Mus musculus: one gene and its partners. The protein of the gene in region 3 interacts with the protein of the main gene of each other region in a pairwise test. Links are inferred from orthologs where the notes say so. Each region holds a gene or a part of one and is shown on either strand. Other genes may lie near its edges.

Region 1 (3,442 bases), on a different chromosome or scaffold from region 3:
GGAAGTAGGTCAGACCCAATTGTCTTCAGAGATAGTAGAGATGGCTATACCTGGATGAAGGGTTGGGGGTGGGGGCAGCTGGGAGGCAGAGTGATGGGTACAGGAAGATGGGGCACCTACCCATGGTTTTCTCCCCACCCCAGAAGGCACCTATCCTTAGGAAAACCGGGTCTTGGAGGCCCTCACTGCTTCCTCACCTTCCCCAGGCATCTTTGCATTCAAGTGTTCGAGGGCAGAGGACATCTTCAACCTGCTGCAGGACCTCATGCAGTGTAACAGCATCAACGTGACGGAGGAGCCGGTCATCATCACGCGGAGCAGCCACCCACCAGAGCTGGACCTGCCTCGAGGGCCCCCACAGCCCGCTGGTGAGAGACCCCACCCCAGTCACCCTGTCATATACACACACGAGCTAAGGAGCAGGTACGGGAGAGCTGGGGTGAGCCAGCCTTCCTGGACAGTCTTCTGTCGTCAGAACCATTCCTGAGGATGGATCAGTCCTGGGCAGGGCCAGTTGGGTGACTCAAGCTGGAGCTGCAGAGGCCTGCGCCTTGGGTCAACTGATGGTTGGGAAGCAGACAGGAAGACGTTGGGTTGCCATAGAAACAGCAGTCTGGAGCTTTTTGCTTCCTTCCGTGTACTGGCCTGGATCACATACAAAATACACTTCTCCTGGCTGGCTGGCGCGCCATCGCTGCTCACATTGGTGTGGAGGTTCCCATGATCTGTTCTTGATGGCTGCTAAGTCAGACCACACAGCCCTGCTCATTGTATTCCCTGTGAGAGACAGAAAGGCTAAAATGGCCCCTGTGTCGGTGAGGTTTCCTGGTGCTCCCTGGCAAAGCCTGCCTGGTCATAGGACAGTTCAGGGGTGACAGGTGTGCCATCAGTGTTTAATAAGGTCTATGAGAAAGTAGGAGGTTGAGCCAGCCTCAGGGTGGCTTCAGAGGGCAGGGCAGGATTTGATTGCAGAGGTGTAGGGGGGTGGGGGGCTGCCCAGTCAGTGCAGTGAGTGATAATAGGGCCGTGAGAGCCTCTTGCTTGCCTTTGGAAGGATTGCAGGGCACCTCAAATATGTGTGCACGTGACTGCAAATGACTGTCAGCTCTCCCATACCCCTCTCCTTGACTGCTTTCCCTGAACCCACCTCCAGGCTACACGGTCTCTGGCTTCTCCAATGGCTTCCCTGGCTGCCCTGGAGAGGGCCCACGGTTCTCCTCCGCACCTCGCCGACCCTCCACAAGCAGTCTGCGACACCCCTCGCCTGGGGAAGAGTCTACCCACACCCTCATTGCCTCCGAGGAGCAGGTGTGCAGGTGGTGGGCGGCACTCTAGGTGGGCGGGACCTAGGGAAGGTTGGGAGAACAGAAGAGACTTGATAGGGCCCCCCTCTACCGGAGCAGGAGGGGCCGCTTATGGGGGGGGGTTGGAGGCGGCAGGAGAAACTCTGGCTCTTTTCCTGTCTTCTCTGGCCCTGTCCCTCCTCCCAGTCCTTGAAACCACTTGATTCACTTAACATCTCTCTCCCTGCCTGCAGTCTCACACCTATGTCAACACACCAACTGGGGATGAGGATGGCAGAAGTCGCCACTGCCTGCAGCCACTGCCTGAGGGCAGGGTACCCCTCCCAGCACAGACACAGGGTTCCGACCAGCGAGACCCACAGGTGTTGCTCCAGCCAGGGCAGGTCAAGTTCGTGCTGGGCCCCACCCCTGCTCGGCGGCAGGTGATGAAGTGCCAGAGCCTCTGCCCGGGCATGCAGGACCCTCCCCATCACAACAACAACGAGGGCCCTTCTGAGTGCCCAGCCCAGCCCAAATGCACCTACGAGAACGTCAGCGGGGGCCTGCAGCAAGGGGCTGGCTGGAGACTGAGCCCTGAGGAGCGAGGGTGGAGTGGCCTGGCCCACCGTCGGGCGGCCCTGCTGCACTATGAGAACCTGCCCCCACTTCCCCCAGTGTGGGAGAGCCAAGGTCAACAGCCGGGAGGGGAGGCTGGGGATGATGGGGACTCCAGGGACGGGCTTACCCCGTCCTCAAATGGCTTCCCTGATGGCGAGGAGGATGAAACCCCGCTACAGAAACCCACCAGCACGCGGGCCTCCGCCCGTAGCCACAGCGGCTTCCCTGTCCCACTGACCCGCCGACGAGGCTCCCCGCGGGTCTTCAACTTTGATTTCCGCCGGCAGGGCCCTGAGCCCCCAAGGCAGCTCAACTACATCCAGGTGGAGCTCAAGGGCTGGGGTACAGCCCGTCCCAAGGGGCCCCAGAACCCCTCAGTGTCTGGAGCTCCTGGGCCCACCCCACACCCTGTTCGCAGCTCAGACTCGTATGCCGTGATTGACCTCAAGAAAACGGCGGCCATGTCCGACCTGCAGAGGGCTCTGCCCCGAGATGATGGCGCGGTCAGGAAGACTCGGCACAACAGCACCGACCTGCCTCTGTAGACCTGGGCCTCCGCCTGCCTCTGCCTACAGCAGGGGACTCCACCTCACCCACCAGCCCAGGACTCTCAGCTGCTCTGCAGAAGACACTTCCCTGCATCGCCGGAGTCCCCAAAGATGTCAGCCACTGAGTGTCCAGTTCCCCAAGCTGGGGAGAGGAGAGGGGGAGCCGGAGAGGAGGGAACCATGGTGGAAACTGTGAAGGGTTCTCAAGGTTGCATTTCGCACCCTTCCCTAATGTCCGTTTGTCTGTCTGTCTGCTGTCCATGTGTTTGTGCTTTCAGGTTTTTTTTCCTTTCCCTTTTTTTGTTGGAGTTTTGAGACATTTTTGTACCTGTTGATTTTATTTATCAGTTTATTTTTCTATTTATTGTTTTAAATGTAACTTAACATATTTATTATTAATATAATTATTTTTAAATTCTGGCTCAGTGAGTGCTCTCGTCTGTGCAGTGTTTCCTGGCAGGGTCTGGGTAGGTAGGTGACCCCACAGAGAGGGGAGGATTCATGGCAAATTCAGGGGGGTGTAAAGTCTGCGGTTATTTCTTTTTCTTTTCTAAGAAGCCCTGGCCTATCGCTTCTCGGCCTTTTGGCTAAGATCAAGTGTAGAAGCCCTGGCCTAAAATGTAAAGGTTTCCAGGGATGGACAAGCTCTGCTTCTGCTAAGCTGGGGGCTCGCTGCTGAGAGCTCAAAGGCAGAGGGAACCTGGGAAGAAATGTGACCTAAGAGATGATGTTCACTTTACAGGCTACAACGGACCGGAAATGGGGGAGAGACATTTCACAAGACTCTGTAGCCCCTCCAGGCAAGCCCCAGGGGCCACTGCTGGCCAGAATATATGTTGAGCGGAAGGTAGACCACAGCCTCTCCTCACACAGCTCAACCTTGCCTAGGTCAGACCCTTCACAGGGGATTTTGCTAAAATCACATGCCTGACTAGCCTTCCAGTTCATCCTTTGGGGCTTCCCTAGAGAACAGCCCAGGATGGAGCCCCCAGC
Region 2 (3,652 bases), on a different chromosome or scaffold from region 3:
CCTGAGGAGGGCAGCAGTGTGCAAACCCCCCTTCCCCCCACCCCCCCAATTGGCCTGATGACCATTTTTTCTTTTCTCTTTTTTTTCTCTTTTTTCATCTTTGGGGCTATTTTTTGTTTTTTGTTTTTTGGTTTTTGGTTTTTTTTTTTTTTGGAGACAGGATTTCTCTGTGTAGCCTGGCTGTCCTAGAACTCACTCTGTAGTGCTGGGATTAAAGGCATGTGCCACCACTGCCCAGCCTGATGGCCATTTTTCTAGTCTCCTTGTTTGTCCTGGTGTGAGTGGGATATGTGCCCCCACCCCACCCGCACCCTGCCATACACACCTATACGGTACTGTGTGAATGTTTCTCCTGAGGAGGGCAGGTCAGAGGTCATGAACCCATGAGGACCCCACAAGGGAACAGAGACAGCCTGCTGCTGCACCCAGGGAAGGAAACAGATGTTGCTGCTCATTAAAAATTCAATCAGCAGCCTGTCTCCCTCAATTAATCGTGGCTGGCTGTCTGTGGGGAGCAGGAGGGCTTGTGGTAGACTCTGTGAGAATGGAGGCGGGGAGGTACGGTGCTAAGCTGTCCTCACTCTGCACACACAGGGTTAAGTGGTGGTACAGCCACGACCCCTCCCCTCGGGGCTTACATATGCTCTGGTGATGCTAGCTGCTGACCCTGGGGATAACCACAAGGAGCCGGTAGAATGGCTGGCAGGCCTGTATCCAGAGACAATCAGTGTTACTATGCTGGCTACCATGAGCCTTTCAGTCACACCATGGGTTCAGCCATATCATCCAGAGGACCTCGTGTCCCTAGTGAGTGCCACTGTCTGCCTTGTGTTGGGCTTCTCCTGCAGTAGTGAGGGAAGGGCCTCAAAGTTGTACCAGGAGGCTCCTGGCCCTCAGTCTCCCCTCTGCTCCGTGGCTCCCTGACTTTGCCTCTCTGCCTTGCCCTGAGGATTCCTCCCTAGTCACAGGTGACAGGCATGCAGGGCTGTTGGGTCTGGTTTCTCCAGGCTGTGTGGTGCTGCTGTGACTGTTTATACAGAAAATCAGTCCGTGAGGCGGGGTCTCCCCAGCCCAGCCCAGCCCAGCCCAACTCAACTGCCGCCTCTCACTTCCTGCCTGAAGGGAGCCTCTCCTGGGGTCTCAAAGCCTAAATATGTGCAAGGGTCCCCCACGTAGGTCCATATCAGCTGCCAGCAGTGTCCACATAGCTACGGGCACTGCTGGAATCTAGGGAGCAGCTCTGTCCTGAGGTGCAGGTCCCCAGGGTGTGTGTGTGTCCTGACTCTATGACCACCCTGTTTTGCCTATAGGAGGTGGGAGTTCCTACCCTGCAGATGCCCTCACATGCCTCATCTTGGGATTCAGCAGTCTGGTGTCTAAGGCTTCCCTGACATTGTTGAGTTCCTTCTAGAGCTGAGCCAGACCCTGTAGACCTTGGTCCAGACCTGCTCATAGGAGGCTTTCTCCCTAAATACCCCTTTTATGCTTTCTTTGATTAAAAAAAAAAATTAGGGGGAGGATGTTTCTAGAATATGGCTCCCCAAAACCTAACTCTTCTTCCCGCAGGACTCTGGCTCACGAGGCAGCAGCAGTGGTCGGGAGCGCCTATTGGTGGAGCCACCTCTCGCCCAGGAAAAGGCTGCGGGCCCCGCCATCCCCTCCCACCTACTCAGCACCCCGTACCCCTTTGGCCTTTCCCCCGGCTCAGTTGTACAGGACTCCCGCTTCCAACCACTCAAGTAAGTGCCAGCCTGGGGTCAGGGAAGGCACAGGGGTGGCTCCAGACAGACCTGAGAGTTTGCACTGGCAGAGGTAGATAGAATGCCATTAGTCTCAGTGGCCTGATCTGCCCTGAGGTCCTTGGCCCCATCTGACCTTGTGGTCCAGCCTTTGTTGAGACAGACTTATCAGGTGTCCTAAACACATTTAAGCCCATCCTCTGGGTCTGGGGAACAGAGAGCCCCTCCAGCATCTCTATCCACTCGTGGGGACCTTGAGGGACAGGCAGCTTCCCATCTGTGCAGTCTGGGCTTCATGCCAGGCTGTACCTCACTGAGAGGCAGGACCTGAGCCTGGTGAGGGAGTGTGGCACATTACCTCTGCTCCCCACTTCCCCCTCCCACAGCCTCCAGCGGCCTGTGCACCATGTGGTGCCCCCCAGCACGGTGACTGAGGACTACTTGAGAAGCTTCCGGCCCTACCACACTGCTGAAGACTTACGCATGTCCTCCTTGCCTCCGCTTGGCCTGGACCCAGCCACCGCCGCAGCCTACTATCACCCCAGCTACCTGGCCCCACACCCATTCCCCCACCCGGCCTTCAGGTGAGGCGTCCCCACTCACGCTGCCCTGTGTGCTAATCTGTTCTCAGCAAGGCAGAACCTCTCGGGGCGGGCGTTTGCCAGGGCTTGGGGTCCAGGCACTCAAGGGAGCTATATAGCTTTCCCCAGCTCGACTGAGTTGAGTCTTGATGGATGGACTCAGTACCACCTGCTGATGCTCCTTGGTTCCCACTTCTCAGCATCTGCACCCCAGCAGCCAGTCCCCACTAACAGTGTGTGGTACCTAGACAGTGTGATGGAGACTCCGGAGTGAGAGTCAGGCCATGCCCTCCCTCTTCCTGTAGAAGCTCCTGGCCTCTTACCACAGCGGGTCACACCAGAGGTCTCTGCCTGCAGCCAGTCTGCCCTCCCGCTCGCTCACCCATGGTCCGGGAGGTCCTAGGCGCCCATGTGGTCTGTTCCTTGTGGCCCCAGACAGTGGACATGCTCTTTGCATGCAGTCTCTGCAGGGCTGAGCCTGAGTGAGCAGTGGCTCGCCCAGCCGAGAGGCGCCGGCTCACCTGCCTGGGTCCCGGCCTTTCTCCTGCAGTGCCAGGGATTCACCTGAGGGCTTCGCATCTGCTAGGCAAGCTTATCCTTTGTGGCTCCTGCACACACCAGTCCTGCCTCTCTGTCTACAGGATGGATGACTCCTATTGCCTGTCAGCCTTAAGGTCTCCGTTCTACCCCATCCCCACCCCTGGCTCCCTGCCTCCACTGCATCCGTCGGCGATGCACCTGCATCTCTCCGGCGTACGGTATCCTCCTGAGCTCTCCCACTCGTCCCTGGCGGCGCTACACTCGGAGCGGATGTCCAGCCTCAGTGCAGAGAGGTAAGCTGTGTTTTCAGCAGAGGTGGGGTGGAGGGGACTGTTGAGCGTTCCTGAGGTCCTCAGCGGGGCCTGGCTTGGTGGTGGCGGGATGCGGTTCTTTGTGTGTAGGTGGCAACTCTTGCATGTGGCTGCTCCACTTTGAGCTGGGGCGTGGACTTGCCCCCCCTGCACATCCCTTTAGCACGCTGCCCTGTTTTCCCTCCCAGGTTGCAAATGGACGAGGAACTGCGGCGGGAGAGAGAGCGAGAGCGGGAACGGGAACGGGAGGCCGACCGGGAGCGGGAGAAGGAGCGGGAGCGGGAGCAGCGGGAGAAGGAGCGGGAGAAGGAGCTGGAGCGCGAGCGGGAGAAGGAACGGGAGCGCGAGCTGGAGCGGCAGCGGGAGCAGCGGGCGAGGGAGAAGGAGCTGCTGGCTGCCAAGGCCTTAGAGCCCACCACCTTCCTGCCTGTGGCCGAGCTGCACGGACTCCGAGGTCACAGCACGGAGGAGCGGCCCAAGC
Region 3 (2,195 bases):
TAGCAATGTTTCAAACCAAGGGTAGCCTGGGATACTTTACAGTTTGTCCTTTAGAGAACTACCTCTGTTTGACATTTGGCCTATGTCACGGCACTGTGGCTAAATGCACCGAGCAGGTCAGCATCGTAAGTAAACATAGGATCCGAGATGATGCCTCCCTCTGGAGAATGGCATGGAAAATTGAAATCGATGAGCACACCAGGTATATTTGTTCCTTCTGGAGCAAGACCAAGATGAAGAAAACAGGCCACTGGCATCTGGCACTGTGGTGGCTGGTGCAGCCCAGATCTGCGACACCACTTCTGCTGTTGTATCTGGCATCAGAAGTCTGAAGGACTTGAAAGACCAGCAGAAATCCAATCATCTGAGACATCCCTAGCCTACAGTAAACAGGTTAATTTATGTAACAACAACAATAGTACAGGATGAGAGTTAATAAAAGATATGCAGGATCTCATTATGTAGCCCCTCACTGTCCTGGAACTTAGTATGTAAACTAGGCTGGGCTCAAACTCACACTCTGCCTCCGCCTCCTGAGTGCTGGAGTTCAAGCTTTCACCAGCCTCATCCTGTGAGACTCCAATAAAGAACAGACTTGGAAGTGCTTTTAAATGCTCCAGGGATTATTATTTCATGAAGAGAGGAAGAAAAGACAGCATTTGATGGCAAACACTAAGGGTAGATGTTGGGGGAAGTGACGGACGGACGGACGGGGGCTGAGATCCCAGCAGGTACTTCTCAGAGCAGTCAACAATCAGTGGTGACAGTGGCTGAGAGCTCTTGGATACGCCAGGCGCTGCAAGCCTTGCACAAGATGTGCCCATCCAGCGGGTAGCAGCCTTGACACTCTCCCTCAGAGGACAGCAGCAGCCCACACTCCTGTGAGAAAGAACAAAACCTTCATTAGCCTGGGACTTTCCCACAGTGCTTTTCCCCCAGCTTCCCGGGCTCTGCAAAGCTCTCGCTCCTGCCCAGGGACCCCCCCTCACCTCACACTTGTAACAGCCGATGTGGAAACTTCGATCCAGAGCAACAATTCTCACCGTCTCCTCCTGACCTGGTTCCGGCATGATGGCCCCACCACACACTGAGCATCGTGGGGCAAATTTCCTGCAGTGGAGGGGAACCAAAGAGGCTATCAGGTCCCTCCCTCCCACACCATCAGGAGACTCAAAATGAAGCCCAATGAAGGTGGAAGGGGCAGGGGTGGGGATGAGAAGGATATAAGAGATGTGTCTGGGTCTTGGGGAAGAAAGTGGTGTCAAAGAAAGAGAGCACCAGAAGGTGGAAACAGAAGAGGCAGACCCTGGGACATGAAGAAATAGGTCAGTGAAGACATGCTGAATCCAGGCAAGACCTGTGGAAATCTTCAATGCAGTGGATCTGGCTGGTGGCGTCCACTGTGAACGGGATGCCATCAAGACCACGGTGGCATACCACACAGGTGAAGCAACCAGGGTGGTACGCCTTCCCCATAGCCCTCAGGATTCGGTCCAGGATGGGTTCAGAGCATGTGGAACATTTCTCCAGGGTGGCCTAACGAAAAAAGAGGAAGGAAGGTCAGTGGAGGGAAGCCACTCCAGCCAGGAAGGAGTACTCTCTGCCCAGCCATCTGGTGTGTGTAGTTCCCTGCATGGGATTCAGTGGAAGGTGGACTTAGCATTTCTGAGGTCTAAGAGCAGCACTGAAGCCTCTAGACAAGGGATTTGGTCTCCACACACTTCATCTTTCAGTGAGATGAATCAGTAATGCCTCTGAGGAATGCTGTCAGATTTTCACAAATAACCTCAACTCTAAAATGCCTTCCAGCTGGCACAGTGGCACATATCCGGTTTCCTAGCTCTTGGGAGGCTGAAGCAGGAGAACCATAACTTTAGGATCAGCCTGGGCTACACAGTAAGACTCCGTCTGGAAGGAAGGAAGGAAGGAAGGAAGGAAGGAAGGAAGGAAGGAAGGAAGGAAGGAAGGAAGGAAGGAAGGCAGGCAGGCAGGCAGGCAGGCAGGCAGGCAGGCAGGCAGGCACCCACCCGCTTGAAAGGAGGAGCTGTCTTTCCCTCCTTCATCTAGTCTCCACAGTTAACTCATTCCTTAGCCTGGGGCCATAGCTCAGTTGGTAAAGTGTTTGTCCAGCATGCACGAAGCCCTGGGTTCCATTCCTAGCACCACAAAGAACAGGTCTGGTGGCCCACACCCAG

Evidence for each region.
Region 1: the proteins of Trip6 (region 3) and Frs3 interact in binary tests that used the Homo sapiens proteins (3 or more experiments, as listed by UniProt). The two-hybrid records come from large-scale screens. The link is inferred for Mus musculus from reciprocal best matches to the Homo sapiens genes TRIP6 and FRS3.
Region 2: the proteins of Trip6 (region 3) and Gse1 interact in binary tests that used the Homo sapiens proteins (3 or more experiments, as listed by UniProt). The link is inferred for Mus musculus from reciprocal best matches to the Homo sapiens genes TRIP6 and GSE1.

The regions. Positions count from the first base shown.
Region 1 is NC_000083.6:47,701,417-47,704,858, forward strand, and holds the end of Frs3 (fibroblast growth factor receptor substrate 3), read left to right. Parts: intron 1-197; exon of another isoform or gene 198-206; coding exon 207-368; exon of another isoform or gene 369-580; intron 581-1,153; coding exon 1,154-1,308; intron 1,309-1,537; coding exon 1,538-2,446; 3' UTR 2,447-2,870; downstream 2,871-3,442. UniProt on the Homo sapiens protein: Adapter protein that links FGF and NGF receptors to downstream signaling pathways. Involved in the activation of MAP kinases. Down-regulates ERK2 signaling by interfering with the phosphorylation and nuclear translocation of ERK2.
Region 2 is NC_000074.6:120,564,802-120,568,453, forward strand, and holds part of Gse1 (genetic suppressor element 1), read left to right. Parts: intron 1-1,566; coding exon 1,567-1,739; intron 1,740-2,125; coding exon 2,126-2,323; intron 2,324-2,961; coding exon 2,962-3,153; intron 3,154-3,359; coding exon 3,360-3,652.
Region 3 is NC_000071.6:137,309,296-137,311,490, forward strand, and holds the end of Trip6 (thyroid receptor-interacting protein 6), read right to left. Parts: intron 1,537-2,195; coding exon 1,358-1,536; exon of another isoform or gene 1,306-1,357; intron 1,111-1,305; coding exon 990-1,110; intron 880-989; coding exon 748-879; 3' UTR 604-747; downstream 1-603. UniProt on the Homo sapiens protein: Relays signals from the cell surface to the nucleus to weaken adherens junction and promote actin cytoskeleton reorganization and cell invasiveness. Involved in lysophosphatidic acid-induced cell adhesion and migration.